Coturnix japonica: one gene and its partners. The protein of the gene in region 4 purifies or fractionates together with the protein of the main gene of each other region. This does not show direct contact. Links are inferred from orthologs where the notes say so. Each region holds a gene or a part of one and is shown on either strand. Other genes may lie near its edges.

Region 1 (7,934 bases), on a different chromosome or scaffold from region 4:
TTGGATGTTTAGTGATTGCTTGAAATGAGCTTATCATCCTGAAAGTCCTGATAAATAAACTTCATATTATTAGTAATTGCCAGAAAAAAGTGCTTTTTGTTTGTGAAGTCCGAGGTGCCCATCCTCATGTTTGTTGTTTTTTTTTGTGGTTCAATTTCAGGACAGTAGAATACAAGGAGGATATGAGAACGTCCCAACTATTGACATCCACATGAACCAAATCGGCTTTGAAAGAGAATGGTATAAGTTTCTTCTGGAATATATTGCACCCATCACAGAGAAACTGTACCCAGGATACTATACCAAGGTAGGTAATACCGTGACAACAAAACTCATGGTCAGCTCAGCACCTTCTACAATTGCAGCTGTGTGAAAAGACTACTAGAATCCTCTTGCAATATGCATTCTCTGGTATGGAGGGATGTTGCTGAGCTGTGATTTGAATATGCATCAGAAAATAGTTTCCCAATAATGTTTTCCTGCGTTATTGTGGTTCTTCTTAGCAGTGAGGTGCAATTTAAAATTGCACCCTATCACAGCCCAGTAACCACAGGCTGCTACAGCTCTGTAACAGACGTTCTACTTTTTCTTCTCTCCTGCAGACTCAGTTTGAACTAGCCTTTGTGGTCCGCTACAAACCCGACGAGCAGCCTTCTCTAATGCCCCATCACGATGCTTCCACCTTTACCATTAACATTGCTCTGAACAGGGTTGGAATAGACTATGAGGTAAGTTTGCCAGCATGCTGGTGATGAAGCACAGCCTTATTTATTGATACTTGGCTCCTTCATGCTGAAGTATGTGATTAATGGCTGGGTTATGTTGGATTTTTGAGCACATTAGAGCACAACGGATACCCTTTCTCTCACTTTCTGAAGAGCTGCCAAAAGAAGGCAGAGACCCTTTCCCTTAGGTGACTTAACCAAGCTGATGTGTCTCTTGGTCTGTATCTCAGGGAGGAGGCTGCCGGTTTTTGCGCTACAACTGTTCGATTCGAGCTCCACGGAAAGGGTGGACTCTCATGCATCCAGGACGACTCACCCACTACCATGAAGGTCTTCCAACCACCAAAGGAACCCGTTATATCGCAGTGTCTTTTATTGACCCCTAGAGCCATGCTGACAGGAAAGACCTTTCCCTGGCCCTGCTCACTGCTGACTTTGAGTGGAAACAGGGAATAGTGCAGAGAGTCTCTAAGGTGTTGATCAAAGATATAAGACTCCGCTGTTGGAAGATCTCCCTCTCTGATACTGCGGGTCATATCTAGAAACGTTGCTGTAGAATTTGGAAGGAGATTTTGTGCCTTCATTTTTGATTCTGCTCTTCATCCGCTGTGTCTTGGAAATGCGATTTACTTGAAGCTTCACGGCTTGGTTGGCTTTACAGAAATGCTTTCTTGGACTGGAAATCCAGCTCTTTGGAGTCAAGTCACAAGCTTTCTCTCCAAGTAGCTGGAATCTCTTTTTTATATCCACAGCATATACAGGACTGGACACTTAGAAAATCATTTCTGGATACTATACCAAACATTATCAAGGAGCTGGCTCCAAGAGTCGTAATGGTTACATGTCACACCAGATGAAACTCAGTAGTAACAGCCTGAAGATCATCTGAATCCTTACCTCTATGCAGTCTTTGGAAACACATCACAGAGTTCAAAGCAGCAGCAATAGCAATGTAGGTGCTTTGTGGTAGTCAATGAAGGCCCATTAATTATACATTATCTCTGGGATTAGTCTGAAGACATAGAAAAAAGAAATAGCCTCCCTATCTTCTGTTACTGCAGTTTAGGGAGGGCTTCAGTGCTGAATCAGCTCAGCTCTATCCTTGTTAAGATCTACAAGCTCTAATGATGGGTTAACAACCCAGAGGCCCCACTGATCTTTGGCCTCATTCTCCTTCTTAGCGATCATTTGGGTAGTTCCCTTTGCATCCAGCTTGTTTGAGCCAACGCTGTAGAAGAACTATTTTCTGGTACTTAGAGGAAATCATTATTTGGTATTTCTAATATTTGAGATTGCAAACCAAAGCATCCCCCTGGGGATGAGACTCATAGAAATGAGTGGGTGAGTGCTCAGAGGTTGTGGCAAACCAATAAGGGATAAAAAACTGCCTAGAATTGAGCTGTGGGTAGAGGGGGAGCAGAGAAAAACCGTTGTATTGCTGCCTGTGAGAGACCTGCTCTGCTTTTAGACACTATTATGTGTATGAAGGCTGGTTTGTTTCACAGGCAGTACATTCACATTGGGATTGGGGTGGACCCACAGGGCTGCTCTCTGAGGGCTCTTTAGGGTCTCCTTCAGTGCTGTGCATCCACCAGGGGAGAAAAAACAGTTGAAAACGGTAAAAATTCGTGCTGTAACCAAATGAAGAGACTTTCCAGGCCCACGGTTGAGAAAACATTGACATGGTGTATGTATTTATTTAGCTTCCCCACACACACACTTATTTTATTGTGTTTTTCCTCTGCCCGATACTATGATCGGAATCCGCGCGGAGCCGCTTCACACACAGATTCCAACCGTGGCAAGTGGGAGGTGGGGAAATTCGCATTAAACTATTCCCAAACGCTCACTGTGGTTGTGTTTCTTCCACGACGGGGCGGCTCCTCAGAACTACAGCTCCCGAAGCACCCCGGGACAGAGCCCGCCTACCCAGGGGTGGTGCCGGGGGTTAAGATGGCTGCGCTGCGGGAGCGGCCGTGAAGGTGAGCGTTGGTTGCGGGCTGTGATGGCGGCTCCTGTGAGGGGTTCGGGGCTCTGAGGTGGCGGCCGCGCTGTGGGGAGAACGCGCTTCCCGCCCTTTTTATTGGCGGGAATCCGCCGTTCTCTGAGGGCCGAGTTCGAGGCCTGCGCCTCCCTCTGTCGTAGGGAGGCGGCTGGATTCGGAGTGAGGGAAGGAGCTGTGGTGGAACGGCGCTGTTCGTGTTCTGGAGGGGCTCGAGTTGACCATGTCCGGCTTGTGAGAGCGAAACACATCCTAAAAGTAAGCGGGGAAGGGAGGGAGTGATCCCTTGGAAGGGAGGAGGGAAGGTGGGTTTTTATTCTTTCTAGATATTTGAGTGACTTCTAAGTGTGGGAATTAGAAACGTTCCTTGTGGAATGATCTTTAGAACGTGTATTATCTAGTTCTCAGTAGGCGTCTTCTGTCTCCCAGGGGTCTGTATTGAGACATCACCTTTATCAATATACATTTTATATATGTGTGTACACCGTACCCTTATACTATCAGGGCATACACATTGGGATCAAGATCAGCAATTTGCTGATGGCACCACACTGAGCACTGCAGTTGACAGGGCAGAAGGAAGCGATGCCCTCCAGAGGGATCCTGGTAGGTGAAAATCTGAACATGAACCAGCACTGTGTGATGGCAGCACTGAAGGCCCACACACAGAACAGCATCCTGGGCTGCTGCAGCAGATGGGTGCCAGCAGGATGAAGGGATTTTCCTCCTGCTCTCTGCTTTTGTGAGGCCCCAGCTGCAGTTCTGCACCCAGGCCTGTGGCCTCCAGCAATGGAAGGATGTGGGGCTGTTGGGGGGGATCCAGAGGACAGCTGTGAGGATGCTCAGAGAGCTGCAGCACCTCTTCTATGGAGAAAGATTGGAGGAGTTGGGCTTGTTCAGCCTGGAGAGGGCTCCAAGGAGACCTCATTGCTGCATTCCAGTACTTTAAGGGAGCTTATAAACAGGAGAGAAGTGAACTTTTTACACAGGTAGTCAGTGATAGAACAAGGGGAAGTGGTTTTAAACTAAGAGATGGGAAACTTAAGTCTCTCTTGCTGCTGCCCGGAGCTGTGGGAGCCCCATCCCTGAAGGTGCCCACAGCCATGGATGGGCCCTGAGCAGCCTGAGCTGGTGGGGAACACCCTGTGTGTGGCAGGGTTGGAACTGAGTAATCTCTGAGTTCCTTTCCAGCCCAACCGTTGTATGATTAAATATCAGACACTTGGTTGTGTGGCTGTTAGGCCTCAGTGAGTTCCCTTTCCTTACTGATTTTTTTCCCTATAGCGCAATGTCCCTGTTGTTTACTCGTTCCAAGTCAATAGTTGCAGTGAAGAAGGATAAAAGACACATGGCTGAGGTCAATGCTTCTCCACTCAAACATTTTGTCACTGCAAAGAAGAAAATCAATGGCATCTTTGAGCAACTGGCCGCATACATCAATGAGAGCTCCTCATTCCTGGAGGGTAAGCTGAGCTGAATGGTGCTTTGCCTGCACGTGGTTCCCAAGCAACACACCAAAACCCTCATTTATTTATAAATACGTATCTCTTTATATGTCAGTATTTGTATGAGGGGACTGAAAATTATTGTAGTGAATTTGAGTGAAGTTTAGGCCTCATATTTCAAAGCTGATTTACGTTGGTAATGTATGAAACCAAGCTAGTTAGTGGGCTCCGTTGTTTCTGGGGAAGGTTATTTCTATGTGTTTTGTTTTTAAAATGAACTATTTGAGGCTCTTTTGCTTGTGTGCATATAATCCTTTCAGTATTCTTGCCTAGACACGTCATTGCCAGTGACGTGGAACACATACAGTAATTGGCTTTACAGCTTACGATGCAGAGAGAAGGTTTTTAAGGGTGCTGGGATGTTTGAAGCATTGGATGCGTTCTGTTTAAGGCGGTCATGAGGATAAAGAATGGTTATTAGATAAAGAGACTGGTAGATAATGCTGCTGGGTGTAACTGCATGCTTCAGCATGACCTGTCTGAACTGTGAGATACAGATAAGCATTTGGTTGTGTATGTTAAATTATGGGGAGGTGTTTTACCCAGTACTGAGGCAGATCGCTTCAGGGATTCAGGGACATGATGTGTTTTGATTTTTAGAAACACACAGGAACGTGGAGCTTGATCCTGTCACCACAGAAGAGCAGGTATTGGAAGTCAAAGGCTACTTGTCAAAAGTCAGTGGCATTAGTGAAGTGCTGGCGAGGCGACACATGAAAGTGGCTTTTTTTGGAAGGTAAGTCGAGTGCTTACATTGCCTACACTCCCTACTGGGTAAAGAAACTTGCATCTTTAGGATCATAGCCAAAAATGTATTTATAGAAGCATTAGTGCTCCAGCTTCTGGATGCAACGTGTGGCACATGTCCCTAGTTCTAGTATTTGTGTGAATGGGACTCAAATACTGTAGAACATAATCTATTTAGAAGAAAAAAAATGGGTTCTTTTTTAAGTTGTCTGTAGCAAATGAATTGTTAGTGCTTCTGGAGCTGTTTTGGTTTAGATGACTTGTTCTGAGCTCAGAAGCCCAGCTATGCTGTTCTTTAATTTTGCTTCAGGACGAGCAATGGGAAAAGCACTGTGATAAATGCCATGCTATGGGACAAAGTCCTTCCTTCAGGAATTGGGCACACCACCAATTGTTTCCTGCGTGTAGAAGGGACTGATGGTCATGAAGCTTTCCTTCTTACTGAAGGCTCGGAGGAAAAGAAGAGTGTTAAGGTACAAATTCCTTCAGCATTAGATATAGGAGAAGAGCTGTGCTCCAGTGCCAGAGAAGGAGACAAGAAAAAGAAAATGAAAGCACTGTGAATAGATTAATAGTTCCAGACTATATTCATTGAAGGAGCAAAGATTAACAGCAGATTTTCAATGAATGTAGGAAGGGAGGAGTGAAGCAAGCTATGGCGTGAGACTTTATTATACGTGGAAGATGATACGTTGTAGTTGTGCTGACAGGGAATTGGAATGATGACTCAGGAAATTCTCAGCTCTGTATGACTGACCAAAGTTACAGCCTTCCTGATAGTTCCTCAGCTGTACTTGGTGGGAATTCTTCTTATAAACTCTTTTTGGGTGGTTGTCTTTTGGCTGGGGAAACTCGAGGTGTGGAAAAACTCTTGGGGAGATAATAATTCCACATTGGGTTTTATCCTAGATTGTCTGTGACCAGTTTGAAGGGGGGAGATAATTGTCTTGGCGTATGTGAAATGTTTTTATGTATATCTACATATGTGTGTGTGTATTTATTATTATTATTAATAGACAGTAAACCAGCTGGCTCATGCCCTCCATCAAGATGAGCTTCTGAATGCTGGCAGCCTAGTAAGCGTAATGTGGCCCAATTCCAAATGTTCTCTCTTGAAGGATGACCTAGTGCTCATGGACAGGTGAGAATATCTGTCTTTCTTTTCCTCTTTACCACAGATTGCTTGGTATTCAAATACGAATTTAGCAGACATCAAGGAATGTGACCTTGTTTTAATCTGTGACAGTGACTAAAGTCCTTTCCTGTAGTTAACAGCCACAGTTTACCTTGATTTGTCCTTTTAGTTTGCAGTCTGCAAACTGAAACCTCAAAGCAGTGTGGCTCAGACACAGAAAATAGTGCCCTGCGTAGCCAAAACAAGTCTCATACTAACTTTTTAAAACATATTTTTGAATTTTCCACATAATAATATTGTTTCTTCTCTTCCTGTTCTTAGCCCTGGCATTGATGTAACCACAGAGCTGGACAGTTGGATTGACAAGTTCTGTCTGGATGCTGATGTATTTGTTCTGGTGGCAAATTCCGAATCAACATTGATGCAAACTGTATGTTCAGGTTCACTTAATAGCGGTCAGTGAATATGGCTGAAAGTTGAAATGTGCTGACAAACTAATTTAAGAGGTTGTATTCCATTTTGCACAGGAGAAACAGTTCTTTCACAAGGTGAACGAACGTCTGTCTCGACCCAATATATTTATTTTAAATAACCGCTGGGATGCATCTGCCTCTGAACCAGAATACATGGAAGAGGTTTGTGACTTAAATTCCTTCTCTTTGCCTGGAATCCATTATAGAGACCATTTTGACTCTTGTCCTTGTGAGTAGAATCATGACGTGTTAGATATGGTTGTTTTAGTTTGTTTTTTTATTACTGTGGTGTGGAAACTAGAGGGAGTATAGGCTAGTGGTCACAGCATGGCTCTGGAGATTTCTGAAGTGGAAACCAAGAACTTCACTGGGCAGTTTGTAAATTAGATGACTTGGATGACTTCTGGAAGATATTCTAGACTGCAAGGTTGTTTTCTTATTCTTTCATATTAGTAACTTAGACCAGCAGAGGGCATCTGGGTGCCTGGTCTGATTTTTGAGATGGAGCTTAAAGTGGCTGTAACTGCACACAGAGCTGTTCCTGTTTATCCCTCAGGTGCGTCGGCAGCACATGGAGCGCTGCACCAGTTTCCTGGTAGATGAGCTGGGTGTGGTGGATCGAGCGCAGGCAGGGGATCGAATCTTCTTTGTGTCAGCAAAAGAAGTGCTGAATGCCAGGATTCAGAAGGCTCAAGGGATGCCAGAAGGAGGTGAGGAAAGCTAACAGAGTCCTTCTTCTAGAGAAGAAAATAAGAGAATATCTTGTCTCAGAAATAGGCAAAACTGAGTTTATTAAAATGATCAGATTCTTAAGAGAACAGACAAAATAAAAGAGAATGAATTGGCTACTTTTCTGCATTGGCTTCCAGGTAAAGCAGGAGTATTTCCTAATGCCCAACATCTGATTAGGGTTTCTGAAAACCTAATTGGTTGTTTTTTACCTTCCTGTTCTCAGGTGGAGCACTGGCAGATGGTTTTCAAGTGAGAATGTTTGAGTTTCAAAACTTTGAGAGGAGATTTGAGGTGAGTGTTAAACATTGTAGCCTTTTATTTAGGCTTAGTCCTGAAAGGAGTTTATGAACATGGAGTGGTACCACACTTAGGAAATAGAACAGATGCGTTAGTGTATTTCTACATTCTGCTAATCTTTACTGCCTGTTGTGTACAGGAATGTATCTCCCAGTCAGCAGTGAAAACAAAATTTGAGCAGCATACAGTGAGAGCAAAGCAGATCGCGGAGGATGTTCGTCTCATCATGGATTCTGTGCATGTTGCTGCCCAGGAACAGCGGTGAGGAGATGCTGATGCTCGGTGCTTTCATGACAAACTGGGAGAAAATTAAAGCAG
Region 2 (8,237 bases), on a different chromosome or scaffold from region 4:
GAAGACAAAGCTTTCAATGTTGCCAGCTTGGGCAACCCTTGTAAAACACCCCAGAAGGATCAGACTGCAAAGGAGTTCAGGAATTCCTTTCTTGTAACGGTGCTTGCTGTGCAGATGTCTGGTGCAAGTGCTATCAAGAATTATACCATGAGGGTGGCTCTGAAAGTGAATCCTCCTACTTTATTGTATTGGCCCACAGTGTCGGAGGCAGATGTTGGTGGTACAGCAGTAGAGGTTGAGCCTTCCCACCAGTATTCCATTCATGACATTTTGTTGCAGTGTGACAGATGGCAGCAGATGGGCAGACTGACTAAGCGGTGTCTGACATGGAAGTACACATGATGCAAAGTGGTGTATTCTTCTGAAGAAAAAATGGCACCCATTGTCATTCTTTGATGCCTGTCGAACGTTTATGGAGCCCAAACAGTGGATGTGAGAGCAGTGAGGCAGTGGGTGGAACAGTGCAGCTGTGGTGACAGCAATGTGAAAGACAAGCCATGTTCCAGACAGCCATGCACAGCTGTCACACCATGAAATGAAGAGTGTCTCAATCAGCTCATCCACACAGATCAGCAGATTACGACCAGGGAATTGTGTGCAGAGCTGAATATCTACTTCATTGCATTGGAAATGATGGTGGCAACATTGGAATATCACAAATTTTGTGCCAGGAGGGTAACACGAAGAGCCTGAAGGGGACAGTTTCCAGGATCATATCACTGCCAATAACAGGAGGTGGTGTTACCACTATAAGCCAGTCAGAACAGTTCATGGAGAGCTGTCAAAATGGAGATTCCCCATGGAAACAGAAGTTCAAGATGCATTACTCAGTTGGTAAAAGGACGTGTGCTGTCTTTTGGGATGGGAAAAGGGTGATCCTTCTGGATTTCCTGGAACTCAGACAAACCATCAACTCTGACTACTACATTACAACACTGACTAAGCTGAAGGCTCAAACTTCCAGAGTCAGTCTGGGGAAGAAGATAGCTCTTCTCTTGCAACACCGTAACACCAGGTGCCATACCAGTATGAAAATCACGCTGTCAACCTTGGTTGGACTGTCCTACAACATCCACCATATAGTCCAGATTTGGCACCTTCTGACTTCCATCTGTTCAGGCCAATGAAAGATGGACTGTGTGGGCAACATTTTCCTACCAACTACACTGTCATAGCAGCTGTGAAACAGTGGGTCACTTCCACTGGTGAAGATTTTTATGAGCATGGCATGCAGGACCTTATTTATTGCCAGTGAAAATGTGGTGTAGCTCATGATGGTACCTATGTTGAAAAGTAGTATTTTGTATTGAGAATTTGCCAAGTTGACATTATCAAGGAATAATTTACAAAAATATTTTGCCATTACTTTTTGTGCAGTACTAAGTAGTATGGTGGTGTACACACTGCACATGTTACATTACATAATTGAAACTTTAAAATGTGGTTATCAAATATTTCTTCCTCTAGACAAAGATGACAGCAAGGAAATAACCTTTAATGTCATGGTAGCTTGTAGTTTTCTGGCATGAAGTCATTAAATAGCAGATGAGTGGTCTGCTCTTCTCTGCATGTCACTATAGAATCATAGAATCATAGAATTACCCATGTTGGAAAAGACCTTGAAGATCATCAAGTCCAACCGCAGCCTAACCATAGCACTCTAACTCTAACAGCCCTCTGCTAAATCATATCCCTGAGCACCACATCCAAACGCCTCTTAAGCACATCCAGGGATGGCGATTTGTCTGAGTTAAAGGAAGCAGCTGATGATGCAAAACAGTATAAGAAATTCACACAGTGGAGAAGGAGAATTGGAAATTCTGTTAATTTTGTTCTGACTTCAGACACGAAAACAAGCAAGCTTATAATGAAATTAGGACACAAGAATTTCAAAGCTGACACCAAATTGGTTTTCTTTGCAATATGAGTAATTAGATCATGAAATTTACTATTGCAGGATGTTGCTGCAGCCAAGAATTTTACTCCATGGCACACAGAAATATATTATATGGTATAATGCAAACAGAACAATCTGGTTTCAAGTAGCATCGATAAAACAGAAGGCACGTTGATCTGTCAGCTTCAGATTTTACAGACAAAATCAGATTTAATACACAGGACTGTGATCAGAAGATCTTATTACCATACTTTTATAATTTCCCCAGGAATCCTGGTGCTTAACGTACTCAGAAATGACATCCTGAGGTAGATTTATATCAGGTCAGATTCAGTGCGGCAGTTCCTGTTTTCTTATGTTAATTAACCTTTAGTAAAAACCAGTCTGTCTCTTATCAGATCTTTGAGTTTCTTGCCCTGTACAACATAAGCCTATTAAGGAAATTAGATAATTAAAGCTCAGGATGGTCACTGCTTGCCAAAATGATGATTGCTTTGGTGCAGTTGCTCTGGATTGAGGTAAATGCTGGCTTTGGTAAGTTGGTAATAGACACAACATTTTATAGCAAAGGTATTTCCAGAACCCACTTTTTAGCCAGAAATAGACAATGTGGTAAGATTTTCTTCCTTGGGTTTCCTAATCTTATTTAGTCTTATTTAGTCCGCTCTTCTTGTTTCTCTTCTGTTCATTAATTCATTTCATCCATTTAAGTTGTGTTTCTCCATGTGGGTATAGTGTCCTTGATGGTATTTTTTGACAGTTCTGCTGGGAAAGCTGAGTTATCTCTACACATTTTGGCAAATGATATTTTCACTGTGTTCTTAATGAAATATATTACACTGATTAAATTCTAAGAATAGCCATATTGGGATGGACTAAAGGTCAAGCACTGAGCGCTTGTGCACGACAGTCACCCTGTTTCCAACCACTAGTAGCTTAGAAACATCCAGATCTAGGTTTAATTTCCACATCCTTATGTATTTATATGCAATACACTGTGTTGTATGAGTTGAGTTGGGTTGTTCAGGCCTAGAAAGGTTGCGGGGTGACCTCATTGCAGCCTTTCAATACCTAAGGGAACTTACTCCCAGGAGGGGAGTAAACTCTTCGAAAGGGCTGACTAATAGCAAGGAACACAGGGAAATGGTTTTAAAGTTAAAAAGAGGGAAGATTAGGATTGATGTTAGGACGGGAAGTCTCTTCACTAGGAAGAGTCGGTTTAAGGCCTGGAAACAAGGTGCCCAGGGAGGTTTGTGGAATGCCCCGTCCTTGGAAGGTGTTCAAGACCAGGGGTTGGACGGGCCCTGCAAACCTGAATCTAGTAAAATGTGTCATGTTTGGTGGCGCCCTAGCCAGGCCAGGGGGGAATTGGGAACCTACATGAATCCTTGAAAGTCCCTTCCAACCCGGGTCATTCTGTGATTCTGTGTTAATGATCCTAATAGCTCTGAGAGCAATTGGTTTCAGCACACCTAAGCGAATGGACGATCTCCACAGGCCTTGGGCCCAGTGCGGCCGGCCCCATTCCTCACTACATGTCCCGTGGATCCCCGCGGCGCTCAGCCCGCACTGCCCGCTGGGGGCCGCGCCGTGCGCGGGGGCCGGCTCCAATGGCGGCAGGCGGAGGGGGCGGCTGACGGGAGCCGCTGCCCGTCGCGCCCATTCATCGCCGACGTCTTCCCCGGCTTTCTCTGTTCCCTCAGCCCCTCCGGGCTGTGTCCGCCTCCGCCGCCATGGAGGCTCTGATCCCGGTGATCAACAAGCTGCAAGATGTCTTCAACACGGTGGGGGCCGACATCATCCAGCTGCCGCAGATCGTGGTGGTGGGCACGCAGGTGAGGCGGGGCGGGACGAGGCGGCGGGTACGACCGGGCCGCACCGCCCCGGGTTAATGTCGGCTCGTCCCCTGCTCCTCTGGGGCCGCTGAGCCGCGGTCTCCGTTTCCAAGGGCACGGGGGGACGAGGGCGGCCGGGACGCCCTTAGCTGTGCCCGCGGCCCCCCCCGTTGGCGCTGGGAGTGCCCGTGCCACCGCCCTCCTTCCCCCGCCGGTTCTAACGGCCGCGGCGCTCCCCGGGGCAACCCCCCGGCCTACGGGCCGCTGAGCTGAAGGGATGGAGAGCAGAGGGACGGCACCTGCGGGTGTCGGCTGTGCTGAGGGGTCGCTGAGCTGTTGTGCCGCCTTTAGGACCTCTTTGTTGGCAGCCAAAGCGGCCTGTCTTGGCGTTACAGTGTGTCCCAGCCTGGTAACGCTGAGGGGCTGAACGAGCAGCTCCAGACCCTTCTGATGTATCCAAACGGGGCTCCAGACCCTTCTGATATATCCAAACGGGACTTCAGATCCTTCTGGTGTATCCAAACGGGACTCCAAACCCTTCTGGAGGACCCAGCGTCCAAACGGGACGCTGTTCCTCAGCATAACTTCCAGTCCAGAACGGTGGCGGTCATAGGAGAAGTGAAAATGAAACATTAAACACAACCAAAACTTGGCTTTAGTACATCACCTTCTTTCTTTTTATTTATTGAATATATGCCGTTACTTGACAATAGTAGGCTGACATCAAGAGAATTGTGCTAGATGCTCTGCAGCTGGGTATCGTTACATGGCTTTGAAGGCACCGACTGCAAGCTTATAGCTGAAGCATGGCATGGCTTTCCTCAAAGCCAGTTGTGGTGTGGTTGTAGGGTAGGCAGCTCTTCCTTTGCTTAACCACCATCAGTCAGCTGGTTCAGAGACTCTGTGTCAGCTGCCTTATAAAAGAGATCCACAACACCGGCGCTGAGGAGGAGACTTTGTACTGGTCAGTTATATCAGGTCCTTGGTTTCTGCTGATCGCAGGAGCCCTTTGCTGTGTAGAAACTTCCAATCTCATTATATTAACAATATAAACTGATTTTGTTGTTGTCAATGCTGTTTTTTTATTTCTCTATCAGAAGGGTGTAAAGCAGAGGTGTGATGTTTTTATACTTGAAATTCATGGAAATATGCCTTTCAGCTTCATTCCAATGTGCTGAAGTCTTTTGTAACGACCTTATCTTAGTTAACTTAGTTAACTTAAAAGTACATGGAGTACATAGGACTATTTTCGCATACAGAGGCTACTTTGGAAGTCATGCCTCCTAGTTTATTGTATTGGCCTACAGTGTCAGAGGTGGATGTAGGTGCTTTGGCAGTAGAGGTTGAACCTTCCCGTCAATATTCTGTTCATTACATTATGTTGCGGTGTAACAGATGGCAGCAGAGGGGCAGGCTGACTAAGTGGTGTCTGATATGGAAGCGCATATGAAACAAATGTGGGGAACTGAATTCCTCCGCAGAAAAAATGGCACTCGTTGTCATTCTTTGATGCTTGTTGAACCTTTATGGAGCCCAAACATTGGATGTGAGTGCAGTGAGGCAGTGGGTGGTGCATTTCAGCTGCGGTGACAGCGATGTGAAGGGCAAGCCATGTTCCACACATCCATGCACAGCTGTCACATCATGAAATGAAGACCGTCTCAGTCCGCTCATCCACACAGATCAGCAGATTACAAGCAGAGAATTGTGTGCAGACCTAAATATCAATTTCATTGCATTGGAAATGATGGTGGCAATGTTGGAATATCACAAATTTAGTGCTGGGTGGGTCCCATGAGTTCTCACACAGGATCAGAACGAACATCATATGCAGGTTTATCAGGTCCTGCTGAACCAATATGAGATGACTGTTTCCTGTATTGAATCATTATCAGTGACAGGACACGGTGTCAACACTAGGAACCGAAGTTCCAATGGCTGTCCATGGAGTGGTGATACAAACTTCTTCAATGGGAATTTAACAGGGCGCAGCCCTCAGTGGTTAAAGTGATGCACGTTGTCTTTTGGGATGGGAAAAGGGTAATCCTGGATTTCCTGAGACCTGGACAAACCATGAATTCTGACTCATAACAACACTGACTAAGCTGAAGCTTCAAACTTCCGTAGTCAGGCCAGGAAAGAAGACAGTGGAAATGAGTAGTCTGCCCTTCTGTATTAATACCCCTTTGGTGTTAAGACCTGTGAGTAAGGTATAGTGGTACTGTATCTTTTAGGAGACCAGCTTGAATGCCTTTATTTACCTCAGGAAAATATGTAGCAAATTGGATGGGAAACTGTAGCCAAATTTTGTTCTTTTGTTTAAGTCTCAGCTCCTGAAAAATATAATTGTCTTCATGGACGCAGTGACTCTGTAGTTATTTTCTGCAGTTATTTCATACTTAAGATTGTATTCGTTTAGTCCTTTCAATGTAGTTTATGGCAGCCCAGGTTTCTGGAGATGTCTCACATATGTCCTTAGGGCTGACGGTTTTGCTGCTGAGAATTGGCTTCCATGTGTTTTTGAAACCTGCCTTTTAACAGCGTTGTCCCTTAAGATATTTTTGGTTAAGTGCTGTGTGACTCCAAGCTTTCCCCCATAGTTGACTGTAAAAGTCATCTCTGTACCCTGGTATGGAATCTGCTAAGAAAACTGCCGATGATAGGACTTGCAGGGCACCCTTACACGGCCAACTATGTATTGCTATTTTAGGGTTTCGCTGTCCTTCCCAGTAGGTGTGCTGTTTTTCCTGATTCAGTGTTTCAGTTGCCACCTTACAGCTGTGTTGCTGAAATGTGAAGCAGTGTAGAGGCTGGGAATGCTACGCAAACCCTATTGTCCTTATGATGTCTTTGATATCGATACTTTGCTTTGTGGCAAGGGATATTGAGGTTGTATTGAGGTGCCTCAACCAAACACATTAATACTGAGCTAAAATGAGATGCAGGGAAGAAAACTGAGTTATGGCCTTTTATGTGTTAAGGAGGACACTCCTCACTAGGAGAGTGGTTAGGCCCTGGAACAGGCTGCCCAGGGAGGTTGTGGATGCCCCGTCCTTGGAGGTGTTCAAGACCAGGTTGGACGGGGCCCTGGGCAACCTGATCTAGTAAAGGTGTATGTTTGGTGGCCCTGCCAGGCAGGGGGGTTGGAACTACATGATCCTTGAGGTCCCTTCCAACCCGGGTCATTCTGTGATTCTGTGAAGGAGGTGTAGGTATTATAATAGAAATACCTACATGACAGAAGAGAGCGTGACTTTTAGATTAAACATCAACAGAATCAGTGCCTAGAGATGTGTGGAAGTGAATTCCCTATTTCTTTTTTCTCTTATTCTTTCTTTTTTTCTTTTTTTCCAGGTCTTTAATTCTTGGCATCTCTTTAGGGTTTCTACAAGTCACTGACCTAGATATGTACTAACTTTAGTGCTAGCTCTGTAACAAAGGAATTCTCCTAACACCAGCATTATTTTAGAAAGGAAAAAGTTGTGCTTTGCAGTGACGATTATAATAGAGACTTCATGATGAAATTGCATGAATAAGCAGCTGCAATTCACAAAGATATTTATAAAAGACCTTTCAAGTGGACATTTGTGAAGGCTGAGCAATAGTAAATGCTATTTTGGGACTTCCAGTGTGCAAGTGTATCTTATAGTGCTTAACATAGTTTGGTCTGTTGGATGCTGCCATCCAAACAAGCTGTTCCTTAAGACTATGATTGACCCGTGGATGAGCATTACATTTTTATTTTGCATGCTTTCAATTTGTTACGTTTTTATTTTTGTGTTTTTATTTTATGCTGCACGGAACTACAGTGCCCTTCCCTGCAGAGAAGGGACTTGGTTCATCCAGCAACACATCCTAATCCATGTTGGCAAACTCAAAGTTGTGCCAAGCAACTGGGTAGGCAATTTACAAACCCAAGCCAGGAATGGGCATCCTCCCTCCTCTTCATTTCTTTGAACAATCAGTATTTCTTGGGTTTTCAGTGCAATTGTCTTTAGATCCCTCTTACCTTTGTGATGGGATGGATAGATCTAGAGTGTTCAGTGCTGGCTCTGCTGCCTGGAGGGAACTTGTTTTGCTTGTGGGTTTTGCAAGCTTTTTTTTGTTTTAATTTAATTTAATTTGTGAGAGTTTTTGTGTTTTGATATAATTCCCTGTATTTACTTGCAGGCATAAATGTTTTCCCCTTTGCCATCCCTTCCTCCTGTCAGATCATGCCCTGACTGTTCTGGTGAGCGTTTCAAACAAGCAGCAAAATGAAGTTGACATTAATTAGGTGTTTTCTTATGCCAGGCATACCAGAAACTTTGCTGCTGAAGTGAAATAGTGCTGTAGTTTTGTGTGCCTGATGCCAGGGTTCTGTTCTTGTGATTGGTAATACGGTATTGTAATTAAAATGGATGGATCCTAAATCTTGCCCTCAGGGGATAGCATAAGGAAGACATGTTTTCAGGAAAGCTAAGAGAAACTGCGATGGAAGGAACAAGCCTTGGCAAGTGTGTTTC
Region 3 (7,497 bases), on a different chromosome or scaffold from region 4:
GCTCAGTACGCTGTAAGCTCGGTGGGTCATGCCTGATGGTACAAGCTTGCTTCGTATATAGGAGAATACCTGCTGGTAATGGTGATTTCCTTTCTGCTCCATTAGAGTGCTCTCAATAGAAGAGCGAGAAGATCAGAAGGACAGGTTGGACTTTGTTCGAAATCAGCTGAACATTTTGACAGAAGATACTAAGGAAAAAATCAAACGCGTTACTGAGGAAGTAGAAAATAAAGTAAGTAACGCAGGGAGGGAGGAGTGTGTGCGTGACACAGCTTGGCAGATGAATAAGTGAATCTGTCAGCACATGGGTGTTGTGCAATAGATGGACTTCTTACAGATGACTTCACCCTCAGCATTAAAGCTGGGGCTGACCAAAGTTTGAGCTGAAACTCTGCAAAGATGGACAAAGCAAATCTTCAGCTTGAGCAGATTCCTTGCTGAGTGTCACGTAACTGAATTATTTGTTGTAACTGGGTTAGTTCAGAAGCCTGTTTCCACTCTGTCTGGAGAAGATAGGAGCATCACTGTGCTTTGTCTTACAGGTCTCCTCTGCCATGACTGATGAGATTTGCCGACTTTCAGTTCTAGTTGATGAATTTTGTTTGGACTTTCACCCTTCTCCTCAAGTACTGAAGCTCTATAAGACAGTAAGTTTTCTTTAACTTCTACATTTTCATGATGTGCTTATTGTTTCGTATGACGCTTTGTTTAAGCATTACAGAACTTTGATTTTCTTTATAAACCTTCAGGAACTCAACAAACACATAGAAGATGGTTTGGGGAAGAACCTGGCTGATCGTTGCTCCAGTGAAGTCAATGAGTCGATGCATCAGTCGCAGCAGGAGATCATTGGTAATGCGGGACGGGCAGGATGTTGACTTTTTGTGTTTAGAGAAGGCAGTTTGGGATAATTTGCTTTTGGAATCATTTTCTTTCTGAATGTGTTGTAATTTTTACATGATACAGCAGTAAGGGTGAACCGTCCTGGCTCAGGACTGAGTCTGGTAGTAGCCAGGGGTTTTATTTTTGGTAGCAGTGTTTCCTATGCAATGTTAATTCTTATCCATTTCTTCTGCTCTGCTCTGTTTCTGGTAATAAAAGATTCGGAGCAAGATGATTGAATTACATGAAGCCTTGTTATCTTATTCAGTAATGTTGCCTTTTCTGTATGGCACCACCAAATGGCTGGAAAAACAGATTTGTAGTCATCCTTATCTTCTACTATTGCTGGAGGTCTTTAAGTTAATGTGTCCTTTTTTGGGCAGTGATGCTTTATCTACAAGTCACTTTTGTGCGGCTGTTTTATCAGCGCAGTGAAGGGGCTGCTCTGTTAGGATCCAGGCTGCTAAAATGCTCGAGGGTTTCTTGTTCTAGGGGTTTGTTTAAACAGTCAGTTTGTGTTCTTGTAGTTCTCAAAGCTGGTCAGCACTGCAAGGATTCTGCTTGGGAATGTGCTGCCAGGCTTTCAGTGTTAACTCATCCTCACTATTGGGTTCTGTTTCTAGAAAACCTGAAACCATTGTTGCCTTCTGGTGCTCAGAACCAGCTCCACCTGCTGATCCCATGCAGGAAGTTTGACCTCAGCTACGACCTGAACTGTCACAGTCTCTGTGCGGATTTTCAGGAGGACATTGTGTTCCACTTCTCCTTGGGATGGACTTCACTCGTAAACCGGTTCTTGGGTCCTAAACATGCTCAGAGAGTCCTTCTGGGACTGGCAGATCCCAGTTTACAAGTGAGTGCTTCAGAGGCTGAGCTTTTAAGTGCCTTGTTTTGCCTTAATGAGGATATATTCAATTTTTAAATTTATTTTTAATTACAGTTGTTTTTATTTTAAATCCTATTTGCTTCTGCTGTTTCTCCGCTTGCTCCTGGTCCCTCTGTGAAATATTTTTGGTAAGGGTTGTTTTATTGGATTCTATTCAGGGTTAAAAGGGAACCGAGCATCCTTCCCATGCTTTCTGCAGACGTTGCCTAAGTTCTGTTTTCCTTTGGAGTGACCACTCCAGGGAACTTCTTTATTTGTCACCTTTGGATCTCTGAGCAGAGCCTTCGTTCTGACTTAGTCCCGGTGTGGCAGGGAACTGTCAGAACCTCCACTGCTTACCAGGAACGTTGTTCAGATGTCTGTGCTGAGCAGTTCCCTTCAAATGAATGGAACCCTGAATAGCTGACAATAAAACTAATCTCTGTAGTTCTCTAATGCTTTTGACTCAGGCTGCCGTATTCCACTCTTCTAGATCCCTCGTCCCTTAGCTACCACCCCGTCTGCTGCCAGCCTTCCTGCTGCAACTCCAGAGAACACATCACCCGATGATTTCATGGTTCCTTTGATAATGAGTTTAGCTTCACTGACATCACGGACCTCTATGAGCATCATCGTTGTTGGCGGAGTGGCAAGTAGCATTAGCAGCACTCACCGAGGGCAGAGATGGGCTGTTCTTTCCTTTCTGGGGTTCCGTACTGTGAAGCATGTAGTAACTTCTTAGCATGGCTGGGATGGATGAGCACTTGTGGTACACTGGGCACAAGTTATCGGATTGTAGTGAGAAAATTGCTGTGATGATGCTGCGTGTAGCTGGGCGTGTTCTGTGTTCAGTTTCTCAACTATGGGGTGACTTGATTGTGCCCTACATGTTGTTGGACTGGTGGGAGCTTTGCTTTTTCCTTCCTCCTCCTGTAGCCTGGATGTTCTCCAAGCCATTGGGGTACCAGCTCGTTTGGATAGAGCTCTATTGCTCTATAATAATATATTTGTTAATCTAATCTAGTAAAAGGGCCTTGAAGACAAAAACAGCAACAAAAGGTGGAAATAAATAGATTTCCTTATAGTCTAATTGCATTCTGTAGGGCAACTCTAATTTAAACTAAGGAGTTTTCCTTTTCAGATTTGGAAAACGGTTGGCTGGAAACTCATCTCTGTCTCCTTAAGTATGTACGGGTTGTTATATCTCTATGAGAGACTCACTTGGACCACTAAAGCAAAAGAGAGAGCCTTCAAGCAGCAGTTTGTGAATTATGCGACCGAAAAGCTGCAGATGATCGTCAGCCTTACGAGCGCAAACTGCAGCCACCAGGTGCAGCAGTAAGTGTCACACAAGATAAGGAACCTTTGTCAGTGTGGGTGTGGAAAGGCAGCAGAATGTTCTTGCAGGCCCTGTTTGTTGTGAGGGATGTTTGTAGTGTTGTTACAGGGAGAAGGTGTTGCAGTACCAACAATAGGTGTTGGTGGACTGTAGGTGTGAAGCTGGTACTTAGGGAGGGTAAGACATCTTCTCTGCAGGGGTGAGAGTCTGGAGTTGTGGACTCGGGACTCTTTAACAGTCGTTGTGTTCTGTGATCCCCTGGCAGCTGGAGGCTTTGGTTGCAGTGTAACACCGTGTGATTGATCCTGTCTTGTTTTTGTGGTGGGATTCTGTAAGCTCCGGTTACAGACTTGTTTTTCCTATAGGGAAATGGCCACTACCTTTGCCCGGCTCTGTCAGCAGGTGGATGTTACCCAGAAAAACCTGGAGGAAGAAATTGCCCGTCTTTCCAAAGAAATCGATCAGCTGGAGGACATACAGAGCCACTCCAAGCATCTAAGGTGAGTCTGCATGTGGCTGCCAACAGCCAATTGCTGGCACTGCTGACCCCTGAGTGGATGTGTGCTGTCACCTGCAGCCTAAAAGCAAGGTATACACAGGGCAGACACTGACACCTCTTTCCTTTACTCAGAAGCAAACAGCTCCTTGGTTAAGAGTTAAATGCAGGCTTCTTCCACGAGAATGAGGAAAGCTCCTGAAATGCTCTTAGACAATCTCTACCTCACTCTGTTGGAGTGGTGGCTTTTGTAACAGTGTTTGTCTCCCGCAGGTAAAGTGGGGGGTGACACCTTCCCAAGAAGCAGGAGAGTGTTAGAGCAGCTGTCAGCTTGTCGTTCATTTCAGTCCCATTTTGGTTTTGCCACCAGCAGCAGCTGGTGTTTGTGGAACAGAAACTCGCAGCAGTGGGTGGCTGAGGGACTCAGGTCCAGGCTCCGACCGGAGCAGAAGTTCTGGTTTTCTCAGTGCTTTGGGTTTCAGGAGTAGAAACCAAACACAAGTTTTGCTTCTGGTGCTGCACTGAAGTGAATTCTCTGCTTTTGTTTGTTTTGCAGAACTAAAGCCATTCACCTTGAGAACGAACTAGATCGCTTTACAAAGCATTTCCTTCAGAAGAGTAAATAAAGCATCAGCCTTCGCTTCCCGGTGATCCCTTGTAGGACACAGCACATTTTACAGCTGACGCCTCCCTGGGGGGTCACATAAAATGATTTATATTTTTAACCTTATTTTGATTACATTGAATTATTGTAAAGCTTAATTTAGACTCTGACAGTGAACCAAACTGAATTGCTGTGGGACGCTTAGACGTGTGATGTTTGTTTTGCAGATTGGGGGTTTAAAGTCTTTAACACTAAATTTCATTGGGCACTTGAGAATAAAAACCCAAATCCCTTTTGATTTTCGTTAGTGCTTAGGAGGGGCAGGTCTGGCTTCCTGGCATCCAGGAGTTTATGCAGGGAGGGTGCTTAGCACCGCTGTCTGTACCGTTCTCAGTTGACCAGGAAGAGCCAGGGGAGGAGGATGCTGCCTTTCATTTGTGCTTGTTTGGGGTTTTAAGGAAGGGAATGATGAACCCCAGCATTGTGGACAAGAGGTGCTGAGCGTTCTGAAAGCAAGTGGAATCGGGTTGGGAAGATGTTCCTGTTCTTGGATAAGGAAACAAAAGGTGGTAACTGTAGAGCAGTCGCTCCTGGGATGCGGTTGGCTGTAGTTTCCCCACTGGTTCCTGCGTCTCCAGCCAAGATGGCCTTAAGTAACAATAAATAGTTGGTAAGCTGGACACTTGTCTCTGTGAGCACAGCGGGAAGCCTCATTCAGGTGAAGGGCAGCAAATGAGTGGCTGAGTCAGTGGTTTGGATCCCATTTCTGCATGTTGGAGGGAAAGATTTGGGTGTCGGGCTCCAGCACTGAGAGGTGGAGGCTGCCTGATGGGATCTCCTCATGTAACATCCTGACCTGCTCCTCGGTTCTGCTGTAGCACCCATCCCTATGAGCTGTGACAGGTTCCCCTCTGCTCACCTCCAGCATTGCAGAGCCCCTCAGCGTGGCTGCTGCCACCTGCAATCACTGAGCACCTTCGTTTTTCTAACCAGACTTTTTAAGAATAACTTATTTTAGAAGAGAAAACCTTTTCAGAGTATTTATATATTTTTATGGCTCTGTATGAACAAGATTAATGAAATACTCAAAACTTCAGAGTTAAGGATTTACTTATATTCCAGTAAATAAGGGCTATCCTAAAAGGAGAGAGATTAAAAGCTAATAGTAGCGCAGTGCTGTTAATAACCAGCGCTGTTTGTTTGCACTGTAGTGTACAGTGTTGGTTTGTGACTGTGCAGCTCTGAGCTGGCAGCAGCAGTGGGGGGTGTCTGAGGACAACTGTGAATATTGAAATGAGCCACAGCCCAGGTGTTGTTTGAGGTGACAGGGGTGTGTTGGTGCATCTGAAGCACTGCTACAGTGATTGTACCCAGGTGGGAACTTCACATGCATGTGTTCTGCAGTTATTTATTAAAAAATTATAACTCTCTTCTCCTGTGGTAATGTTACTTCACAAGGAAAAGTCACCCTTTGCTTCCACTGTAGGACAGTGGTTGGAGATGGATGATCATTGAGGTGCCTTCCAACCCCAGCCATTCTGTGACAGGGGCCACGGGGTGGAGCTGTAAAGGAGCACCCACAGGTGGCACTGTCTGGTTAAAAGCACTTGTTTATTGGTTACAATATCAACTCATGGCAACATCTTTCACTGAGCCACTGTACAAATACAAAGAAAAGATCCATTGTGGGGGAAAAAAAAAAAGAAAAAGCTATAAACAGAGTTCATAGCAAGTGATTTCTTTTCACAGGGAGGTCTTTTTACAACAGCACTGTTAAAGAACAAATGGCACAAGTCCCTGGTTTCTTCAATAGCTTAAATAAAAGCTTTAAGACTGTTTCTGTATACATACACGATCCAAAGGCAGTGCAGAATCACTTCATAATTGGTAACATGACCGCAGGTATCCAAAGTAGTCAGCAACAAGTGACAGAAGGAACCGAGCTGATGAGAAATGCCAGAAACTGAAGGCAAATTAAAACGGAGATGGTTAGAAGCGTTTTAGTTTTGGACTCCTTTGGATGTCATATGTACTACAAGTGTTCAGATGTTTTTATTTTTTTCTTTAAAAAAAAAAAAAGAAACAAAGGAAAAGGAGAAAAAACACAAATAGAAGAGCACCATCGTGTAAGTAAAACAAAGGCTTGAAATATCTAAGACTATTCCACCGAAGTCCATATTAGTTAAAACCTAAACATACTGTGTGGTATAAGGATGTCAGGCACATGTAATCTGTTATCAGTTATATCAATTAGTAACACTGTTCACACATTTACCATAACAACACTGCATTAACATTCTGCATGTATTTTACATAACCAGCAATTGGATAAAAAGGCTTGTGGTGCCTCTGAAGTGTAGGAAGTAGTTTACCAGCATGCATGCCAGGTTACTGTATACAAAGTGCACCATCAACCCATGCTTAATTACTTTTACAGGAAACGCTATCTCAAAAATCAGTCATTCTGCTACACAACCATTGATACCAACTATTTGAATTAGCCAATACTTATTCTCACCAACATCTTAAAGCACAGCACTAAACCTAGTGGAGGTGACGGTGTCCTCAGAGAGGAACAACTAAGCACGCTTGGAATGTTTTCACAATGGTTTCATTCTACCTTAAAGTAACGCCAACTTCATTGTGGGACACAAACTGAAGAGTTACTATTTCCGACCCATGCACAAAGTAAGCACGCCAGGACCAGCTGCTACATCCATCCAGCTTTGGAAAGTCCAGGTCAGGCCCTCTCAGAGACTGGGGGACAGCCCACGAATCCACGTTCTGCTTCCATACACAGATGGGTGTCAATGCTTCAACCCATCCGTTCTGCCAGGCACTGCCGAGCAGCTGCAGTTTGCAAGGCAGGTGGTGCTGATGGTTGGAAGAAAAAAGGGTCTGCAGACAGATGAAAACAGGCCAACGCTGCAGCACTCTGTGAGTTTACATTTAGAAGCTTTTGTGGTTTCCAGAATCTCAATCATCATCCCCACCAATGAATAATGTCTGAATCTACACCAGAACAAGCCCAGGTTAGGTGCTCGCCTGGCCTGATTAGTATCCTGTATTGCAACATTGAATCAACGCTGGAAAATGCTGACATAAAAAACAAAACTACCTGAATGAAATCAATCTTGCCCCGCAAAGCACAGAGTTCCACTTTCCAAGCTATAACCAATAGGATTTGAGAAGAGAGGCTGGGAATGAGTAACTTTGCCTCAACAATCTTAGCTACTGCACTTCTGTAATAGCACAAGGGATCTGAAGCTCAGACCACGATGCAGTTTGGCAACTTTGACAGCTTAAGATGT
Region 4 (7,962 bases):
ATTAGTAGGATGTTAGGAGGTTTTTATATACTGCATATTTCAAAGGAAATATGATGTACATACCTGCCAAGTGTTTACCATGCAGCCCAATGCACAGGTTTCAACCACTCATGTCATCCATCCCTCCCTGGCAGGGTCACAAAGCAGCCTGCTCTGTGAGAGGCTGCTCTCAAGCCTCATAGTAACCAGGTGATGATGGATTCCAGTCACATTTCTTTGGGTAACTATTGCCTGTCATTACTGCCAATCACAACCTCGCAGCCTAATCCTCAATGGTAGGCTACCAGCTTATTCTCCCAGCCCCAAGACAAAACACAGAAATTGTACAAATCCCAGAATCCTAGGAATAAAATAGACTTCCTTACTTCTGTTTGTAAGGTTTCAGAATAAATACATAAACCCCAAGCATCTGGCTGGTCTTTCTGATCACTACTTTGACCAGCAGACAGTGCATTGATTTCAGATGAAGTCTAGGAACCATGGACCCTGTAACCAGTACTGCTCTAATATTTCACAAGCAGCTGTAATTGGGAAAGTGGGTATTAGGTTCTCTTCCTGGAAGCAACACCCACATGTTTTACTCATCCTACTGTATGCACAAGACCTCTCAGTACTGCAAGTAAAATTGAATTTGACTGTCCTAAGACAAAGCTCAAAATACATTTTCTTGGACAGGCTGCCAGCACGCTGCCTTCTTCCTACTTGCTTCTGCAGATACTTTCTATGGGAAAAAATAACCAAAATGTAACTGCTTTAGCACTCCTAATGAGGATAGCGTTGGTAATCAGCAAACAGACAACTCTGTCCTTATTCTCTATATAGAATACAGCTTGTAAGTCTAAATCCAGATAATAAAAGATAAATGGAAAACAAGACCTGAGAAAAATAAGGTCGGGCACAAAGCAATAGCAAAAACAGAATGAAGTACATAGAATTGGGTCCAACTGCATAACCAATGTATGCGTTTGTTCTGTAATCTGACAATGGTGCAGAACTCCACTTTATTTTTTTTTTAAACACATATTTTACTATATTTTTCTCCCACCAAAGACTCAAAACCAGACTAATTTTCCCTTAGCTACGACAGCAGGGTCAAAGGATGAAGTACATTCTGTGCAGTCTCCTTCCTGTCCTGCCTGATCCCTGCAGCTGTACAGAGCCACCAGGCTAATCCTGCTCAGCTCAAGCCAGAACTGATGTGCACCGAAGAGGGTGCACAGATGTGGAGCTGGCCCAGAAAGGTACCACTGTGTACAGCAAATAAAGTAAAAAAAAAACAGAGCAAGATACAAATTACACAAGATTCTGAGGACTGGTTACATGCAGCAAAGCTGCAGTTCTCAGATATACGTACACAACCATCATCAAAACTCGATAAGGAAGACCTAAGGCTGATCTTTACCAACCAACTTTCCTAGGACCTGGAAATGTAGTGAGCATCTCTGCAAAGAACAACACTGCTCTTTGCACAGGGAACACAGCACGATGCAGAACCTCTCCATGTGCGCCAATACCTGCACATTTGGGCTGATGGAGGAGTGGAAGAGGGCCCTAGGGAGACAAACAGCAGCAACTCTTGGGTGTTGTCCACCCCTTTGTTCCATAAAGACTTCTCAGACTCTAAAATTCCAGCTTCTTATACTGTGCTACCGTGTCTTGACTTCGGAACATACAATGGATTTTCAAAGCCCTAAAGGACTTCTCCATGCTTACGAGCGCTACCACCAGCTGCCCCACAGCTCACTCAAGGTACCAGCGGCCGCCAGGCCTTTCAGAAGGGCCGCATCCAGAGGTGCCGGGCACTTCCCTCACCGCAGCCTCTACAAGCACACACCGCGATCGCAGCAGCTCCCCAACACCGCGCGGGGCCTCGCTTCCCCCAGGGCAGAGCCTGCACCTGCCGAACGGGCGGCGGCAGCTCCCTCCCACCTCCTCGCCCGCAGCAGCGGCGCCGCTCCGTTCTCTCGGCCGCCGCCGTGAGGGAGGAGCTGCGGAGCGCAACGGCCGCTCCGTGTGAGCGAGAGCGGAGGCGCGAGGGCCCTTCCCGCCGCTCCCCGCTCAGTGACCGGAGCGGCCGTTGCCGAGGGCGCGGGGCCGGGCGCGGTGCTGACTGTCCCCCATCGGAGCCCTCCACGCGAGCGCGGCCCCTACCTGCCCCGCGCGCGGTGCCGGGCAGCAGTTAGGCGGCGGCAGCGAGAAGCGGCATAGGGAGGGAACCGGGCGAGGGGGCAGCGGAGCCTCGCGGGACCTTTAAGCCCCCGGAGGCGGCGGGACTACACTTCCCGGCGTGCCCGTCCGTCTCGACCGCCTCCCGGGCGCAGTCGCGCTGGGAAGAGGGCGGGGACGGGCGTCGCAGTCGCGCTCGGCCTTTACCTCACAGAGGCCCCGCCGCCTTTCAGCTCGGCACCGCGGCGGCTCGGGCCGCGCCGTGTGTGCGTAGCGCCCTCCGCGCGCCGCGTCCCGCCCGCCGAGGGAGGCGCGTGGCGGGGGGCGGCCTCGCTGCACGGCGCTGCTGTTATCCTGCTGTTATCCTGCTGTTATCCTGCTGTTATCCTGCTGTTATCCTGCTGTTATCCTGCTGTTATCCTGCTGTTATCCTGCTGTTATCCTGCTGTCATCCTGCTGTCTCCCTGCGTGACGCGCGGCCCCCCCCGCGCTGGGCCCCTTTGTCAGGCTGCGGGGCCTCGGCTAGGCCCGTGCCTTCCGCTGCCGTAACGATGTCGGAGCAGACGGGCCTGGCGCTGCCGCAGAGCATGGACAGGTACGGGAGGAGCGGCTCCGGGAGGCTCAGGCCGGCCGGGGGCGGTAGCGTGTCTGTGGGCTTTTGATGTCCGGGTGCTGCGGGCCGCGTTGAGCTCGGCCGTACGTCAGCGTGGAGTGCGTGGCGGGGCTGGAGCGGGGAGAACGGCGCGGTGTGCGAGGGCTGCGGGATGTAACGCGGCCATGGGAAGCGTTTGGTGCGTTCCTGAAAGCCTTGAAAGGCGAGGTGTATTTAGCCGGGCCTGGTGGGCTTTGTTACTGGTTTTGTCGGCTTTGGAGGAGTCTGTAGTTTCTTTTTTTTTTTTTTTTTAATTGCTGCTAAGAAGTCCGACCTGTAAACCCCTCTGACTTAATTCTAGGGGAGAAAAGGCATTCGCTCTTTGTAAGCTTATTTCCTCTGTTTACGTTGATTTGCACACGAAGCACTTTCACCTTGTTCTGCTGAGAATTTGAGATTCCCACTGAGGCGCATTGAGTCATCCAGGAAGCTCTTGAGACCTGCACGTATAGGCGACACAACAACCGGGCTGTTAGTGCCGGGGGTGTGACTGCCTGCTGCTTCTGAAGGTCGGAACCCATAAGGAATCTATCCTCTACTGATAAACGTATCGCACTTAAATCACAAAGAACTTGGAGGGGGAGGGGGGAAAATACAGCCTGTCGTCAGGCAGGTAATGGAGAGGCAAACTCTGGGAGGCAAGGGCAGAGCTTGCACTGCCTGGATAAGGAACTTCAGTCCAGTGTGGAAAATGACTAAAAGTCTGTTGTTGGAGGATTGAGGAAGAGGGAAAGCTTCTGATGTTTTAGAAAACCTGGGGAAGTGATGTTAAGGAGGCTAAGGGTCAGGAATTGGAAACGTTTTTGCAAGAAGTAACAGAAAGGAGATAAGTTTGTTGTTTTTTAAAGCACTACAAGGGAAGTATTCTGTTTTACTTCCTGTGAATGTCGACAATAGAGAGGAAAATGGTGAAGGATGGCAAGTGAGCAGGAGAAGATGGGAAAACTTGTGTAGAAAGGAAGAAGAATGAGGAGGATCATGAAGAATGTTGCACATCTGAAACTAATTTTCATCTTCATCCTGAAGTTTGTGGTCTTCAGGTGATGATATGTAATATTTCATTATTTTGGATTCCTAAGAAATCATTATGTTCTGAATGGCTGCCCTGCTGTCTGTAGCTATTTTAACATAACATGAGGTTCTAATTCAGTGGGAAATGTCTGAGGTGGTATTTATTTGCGGTGCAAACAGTAAATTGATGTAATTAGATGACGCTGCCTAATAAAACTGAAGCTTTTCTTTTGTGCTTGTATCAGCATTTGGGAGTGTGACACACAAGAATCTAGAATCTTTTGTGATGTCTTTACAGTTTGTTTTCTTTTAAGGTTACATGTTTTAAATGTCCTTTTTTTCTTCTTCTTCCATGTTTCTTCTGTCCTAGAACAGATTTGAAGGTCTTCCCAATATTAGCAAAGCTTACTGTTAGTGCAAAAACTGTTAAATCCAAATTGTATGTAGAAAGTAGTGAAAGAAGTCATGCGAGGTTTAGGTGAGTGTTCATTAAAAAGGAAGCTGGTTAACTAGCAGCCAAACCAGTTCACTGTTCTTCAGTTGGATATGATGGGTATATGGGGTTTGATGCATGTTTAATGTGCTTGCGAACCACAGTTTCGCAAAGCTGGAAGGATGTGTATCTGGCCCTTTCAAAAGACTTCCTAGTAAATTTGGTATAAGAGTCGGTAATCTAAAATAATTGGAAGGTGTTCCTGGCTTGCTTAGCAACAAGGACAATAGGGGAAACGTTTGAAGTACTTAGGAAGCATAGAAGAAGGTAAGAAGAAAGACTGCAGCTTTCATGAAAGCTTGTTAGACTGAATATAGAAACAGCATTGTGGGAGACAGGAAATGGAGATGGTGAGAAGGTGCAAGTATTAAGGATTTGTCTTTAATTCAGGACTCAGGACAGTACAAGTAGAAGGATCTTGGAGCAAACAAGACTTCAAAATGCAGTCAGTGTAAGTTGTCTATTACATACTGGGGTTATGGAGAGTGGTTATATTACAAAAAAACTGTCTTGTTCCTTCATCTGATGTTTCTCGGGATCATACATAACTGCTTTTATGTTGTATGTAGTGATGACCAAGAAAAACCTTTCATCTGGAGACGTAACCTGTGAATGACTCCTTTGTAGGGATTCTGAAGGGCAGAAGTTCCTTTTCATTCATGCTGTTATCATTGATGCTAATGACAGGTAGCTATTGCCCTGGGTAGCAGTAACAAGTGCATATAGAAAAGCTTATGAGTTAATGTATTATCATTTCACACAGAGCACGTACTGTTAAATCAAATTGAAATCTCATAGTGAATGATGCAGAAAACAGCTTTTCAGTGAATAAAGCTGACTGGGAGGGAAAAAGGTTTTTTTTCTGATACCAAGGTGGTATCACTGAGAATTCGCAGAATGGTGAAGTACTCCTGTATCAGGAATAAGTTATTGCTGTAGATCTGAATGTATGCAAGGGTGATAGCTCCTGAAATCAACTTCTTCAATATGTATTTGTGAGAGGTCATATCTGGCTTCTTTACTTGGCTCTTAGGTTGTACATCCACGTGACTTTCTTCTTGTGCTCATCTTTTGTTGTTTTTTCCTGCATAATTTTAGTCTGGACCACATTTCTAATAAATGACACTTTTCTAATAAAAAGCTGTTACGGTGTAATTAATTCCTTACTTGAAATTTCTAGCTAAGGACTTCATACTTTGCTGAAGTGAAGGGCTGCTACACCATGAATGCAAGAGGGAATAACACAAATATTGTACTCAGAGTATGAGGATCTTGAACCTTTACAATGAAAATACTGTGCTTGGTGTGCCAGTATCACGAACTGAGTCCTTTTTGTCTTTTTAAACATCACTTTAAAAATAGGCTAAAAAAGAAGGAAGGTTTGTTGTTGTTTTGGCTTTATTTTCTTTCAGTTGGGTCCTATGAACTTCCCGTCTTGGCACTGTGTTACAGTAGTTCTTCCAGCTGAACACTTCTGAATGTTCTAGCTTTCGTGTTTATCCCTTGTCAGGTGCTCTGGCTGCTCTGTGCATGCTCCAGACTCTTTTGTTCTCTCTGGGTAATGTTGGAAGATAAGCTGTTGAACTTTGTCAGATTTTGGTACTAGGTTCGATTAGTAACTTAATCTCTTAAGTACGTAGGTCACTCTGAAAGCAATGCTTCCTATTTATTTTCATAGAAATTAGAACACGTGCACAATAATGCTATTTCATAGAGCAAATCATCAGCTACAAAATGCTATTTTTCAACTCACATCCACTGGTCTCCATAAATATTCAGTGAGTGTTGATGAATGTTGGTGGCTGTGTGCCATTGTTTACAAATGGAGGAATCTGGTGACACACCTTTGCTGCGTGTGTACTTCCATGTGTGAGGTGCTGTTCTGTCAGACTGCCCCTCTCTGCTGCTGTCACACAGCAACAACATGTCATGGAATGTCGGTGGGAAGGTTCAGCCTCTACTGCCATACTACCACCATCTGCTTTTGACTTCATGGGCCAATGTAATAAAATAGGAGGCCTTACTTTTAGAGCAGCCTTATTTCTGCTTATTCTTATTTTTTTCCAGTGTCATTTGCCTATAAAATGGAGTTTTATAGCTGTGTTTTAGGCATAAATAACATGTACTTTCACTTGGTTTTGAAGTGATTAATTTGATTAACTTGAAAATAATCCTGGAAGCTGTCAATTTTTATTTTTTCTTTTTAAAGATTTTTACTTCTACCATAAAATTTCATTGGATAGCTTCCAATTCATGTTTTGTGTTGATAGTCTGGTCAATCAGTCTAAAAAAATCTAAATGCTTATCCACACACTGGCTTTTTATAGCAATGTCACTGCCTATTTTTACCTTAATGTGAGCCATAATGCTAAAATGTACTCTTTTATTTTTCAGCTTTATTCTCTTGACTTCAGAGGGATTATCTGCAGATTGCTCTTGCAATTTGGTTATATTCAGGCTTCAGAATGCTGGTTTCCATTTCATGGTAGTGATTTGTGGTATTCTTCTTACTGTCTGAAGACCACTTTTCCTTCCAGTATACAAAGACTGCTCTGAAAGTAATGCCTCCCTGTTTTATCAGCAAGGGCAAATGAAAACTAATTGCGAACCTTTAAAAAGCCTTTTGCCCATCTATGTAAAAGCACCAGGATGTTATTTTTAAACTGTTTTAACCTTGGGACTTTTCTCTTTTTTCTTTTTCTCTCTTTTTTTATTTATTTTTTTTTCCCCCTCATGTGTATAGTATTTCCATATTGACATCTGCTTTGGTAGGCTTACGTACAGACTTGAATGTTTTAAACTTAATGGCTTAACAGCTTAATTCTACCTGCAGGCAGTAAGAGATAAGCTGTCTGATTTTAGGGCTAGGGAACTCCTAAGAAGCTGTTTATCATCTTTGGTACTGAAGCTCTTAGTACCCTGTATACATTTTCAGGGTACTCAAATAGTATTTTCATCTGTTAGATCTAAAAGCTGTATGAAAGATTGTATTGAGAGCTTCTTAGATCTCTGCAATAGCGCTTAGTTGTGATTGCAAGCCACCATGCCAAGGGAAACAGTGCTTGCTGAAATAAAACCTTGTGTCAACTGATACAAATATACCAAGTAACTGTTTTAATATGTACAATTTCAGGAGAAAAAAATAATCAACAAGATTAAAATGTTACTTTTAGAAGATCTTAAAAGAAAACTTAAGTGGCAGTGAATATACCAAGTGTTCATTGGTGCGCTACTGTAGAGAGGATAGAGAGTTCTATGCATGAAATATGAAATAGGCCTTCTCTTGTAATGTGTCTTTACGTAACTTTCTGTTCTCCCTCATTTGTTTCTCCTGTTAACAAATGCCTCCACTTGGCATCTGTGTACTTTGTTTAGAAGTCAGCATTTTATGTTGGACTAAAACATGCCAACATAAGGTAGCCTTCTGTGAAGGATGTTATTAGGAAGGCCATGTGCTGAGTGCTTGTGATTGCTCTGCTGGTGAGTCATGCAGTCAGCTTGAGGGTGCTGGGGAGAATTACCTAATGTTCTGGTCAGACACCTTGGGGCTTGGTTTGCATTTACTAAAGGCTCTTCCAAATTTTCAGTACCTACCAAATATGAGTGGCTGTTCCTAAACCCATTGCTTCCTAAGAATCTC

Evidence for each region.
Region 1: the proteins of MARCHF5 (region 4) and MFN2 purify together in Homo sapiens (affinity purification with mass spectrometry; 5 studies listed by BioGRID and IntAct, counting the BioPlex papers as one, with this or other methods). This does not show direct contact. The link is inferred for Coturnix japonica from reciprocal best matches to the Homo sapiens genes MARCHF5 and MFN2.
Region 2: the proteins of MARCHF5 (region 4) and DNM1L purify together in Homo sapiens (affinity purification with western blotting, with the first as the bait; 3 studies listed by BioGRID). This does not show direct contact. The link is inferred for Coturnix japonica from reciprocal best matches to the Homo sapiens genes MARCHF5 and DNM1L.
Region 3: the proteins of MARCHF5 (region 4) and MFN1 purify together in Homo sapiens (affinity purification with western blotting; 4 studies listed by BioGRID, with this or other methods). This does not show direct contact. The link is inferred for Coturnix japonica from reciprocal best matches to the Homo sapiens genes MARCHF5 and MFN1.

The regions. Positions count from the first base shown.
Region 1 is NC_029536.1:4,787,485-4,795,418, reverse strand, and holds the start of MFN2 (mitofusin-2), read left to right. Parts: upstream 1-2,613; 5' UTR 2,614-2,707; intron 2,708-2,870; 5' UTR 2,871-2,985; intron 2,986-3,231; 5' UTR 3,232-3,333; intron 3,334-4,011; 5' UTR 4,012-4,015; coding exon 4,016-4,190; intron 4,191-4,832; coding exon 4,833-4,968; intron 4,969-5,289; coding exon 5,290-5,452; intron 5,453-5,995; coding exon 5,996-6,120; intron 6,121-6,435; coding exon 6,436-6,544; intron 6,545-6,641; coding exon 6,642-6,749; intron 6,750-7,143; coding exon 7,144-7,297; intron 7,298-7,542; coding exon 7,543-7,610; intron 7,611-7,755; coding exon 7,756-7,877; intron 7,878-7,934. Other genes in the region: PLOD1 (procollagen-lysine,2-oxoglutarate 5-dioxygenase 1), read left to right, coding at 161-307, 603-728, 956-1,111. UniProt on the Homo sapiens protein: Mitochondrial outer membrane GTPase that mediates mitochondrial clustering and fusion. Mitochondria are highly dynamic organelles, and their morphology is determined by the equilibrium between mitochondrial fusion and fission events.
Region 2 is NC_029516.1:53,514,572-53,522,808, forward strand, and holds the start of DNM1L (dynamin-1-like protein), read left to right. Parts: upstream 1-3,470; 5' UTR 3,471-3,630; coding exon 3,631-3,732; intron 3,733-8,237. UniProt on the Homo sapiens protein: Functions in mitochondrial and peroxisomal division.
Region 3 is NC_029524.1:15,411,142-15,418,638, reverse strand, and holds the end of MFN1 (mitofusin-1), read left to right. Parts: intron 1-105; coding exon 106-232; intron 233-542; coding exon 543-647; intron 648-749; coding exon 750-852; intron 853-1,505; coding exon 1,506-1,735; intron 1,736-2,240; coding exon 2,241-2,396; intron 2,397-2,888; coding exon 2,889-3,085; intron 3,086-3,451; coding exon 3,452-3,586; intron 3,587-4,138; coding exon 4,139-4,208; 3' UTR 4,209-5,618; downstream 5,619-7,497. UniProt on the Homo sapiens protein: Mitochondrial outer membrane GTPase that mediates mitochondrial clustering and fusion. Membrane clustering requires GTPase activity. It may involve a major rearrangement of the coiled coil domains.
Region 4 is NC_029521.1:18,089,030-18,096,991, reverse strand, and holds the start of MARCHF5 (E3 ubiquitin-protein ligase MARCH5), read left to right. Parts: upstream 1-2,440; 5' UTR 2,441-2,539; exon of another isoform or gene 2,540-2,616; 5' UTR 2,617-2,717; coding exon 2,718-2,761; intron 2,762-4,747; exon of another isoform or gene 4,748-4,762; coding exon of another isoform or gene 4,763-4,773; intron 4,774-7,962. UniProt on the Homo sapiens protein: Mitochondrial E3 ubiquitin-protein ligase that plays a crucial role in the control of mitochondrial morphology by acting as a positive regulator of mitochondrial fission and as an important regulator of immune response.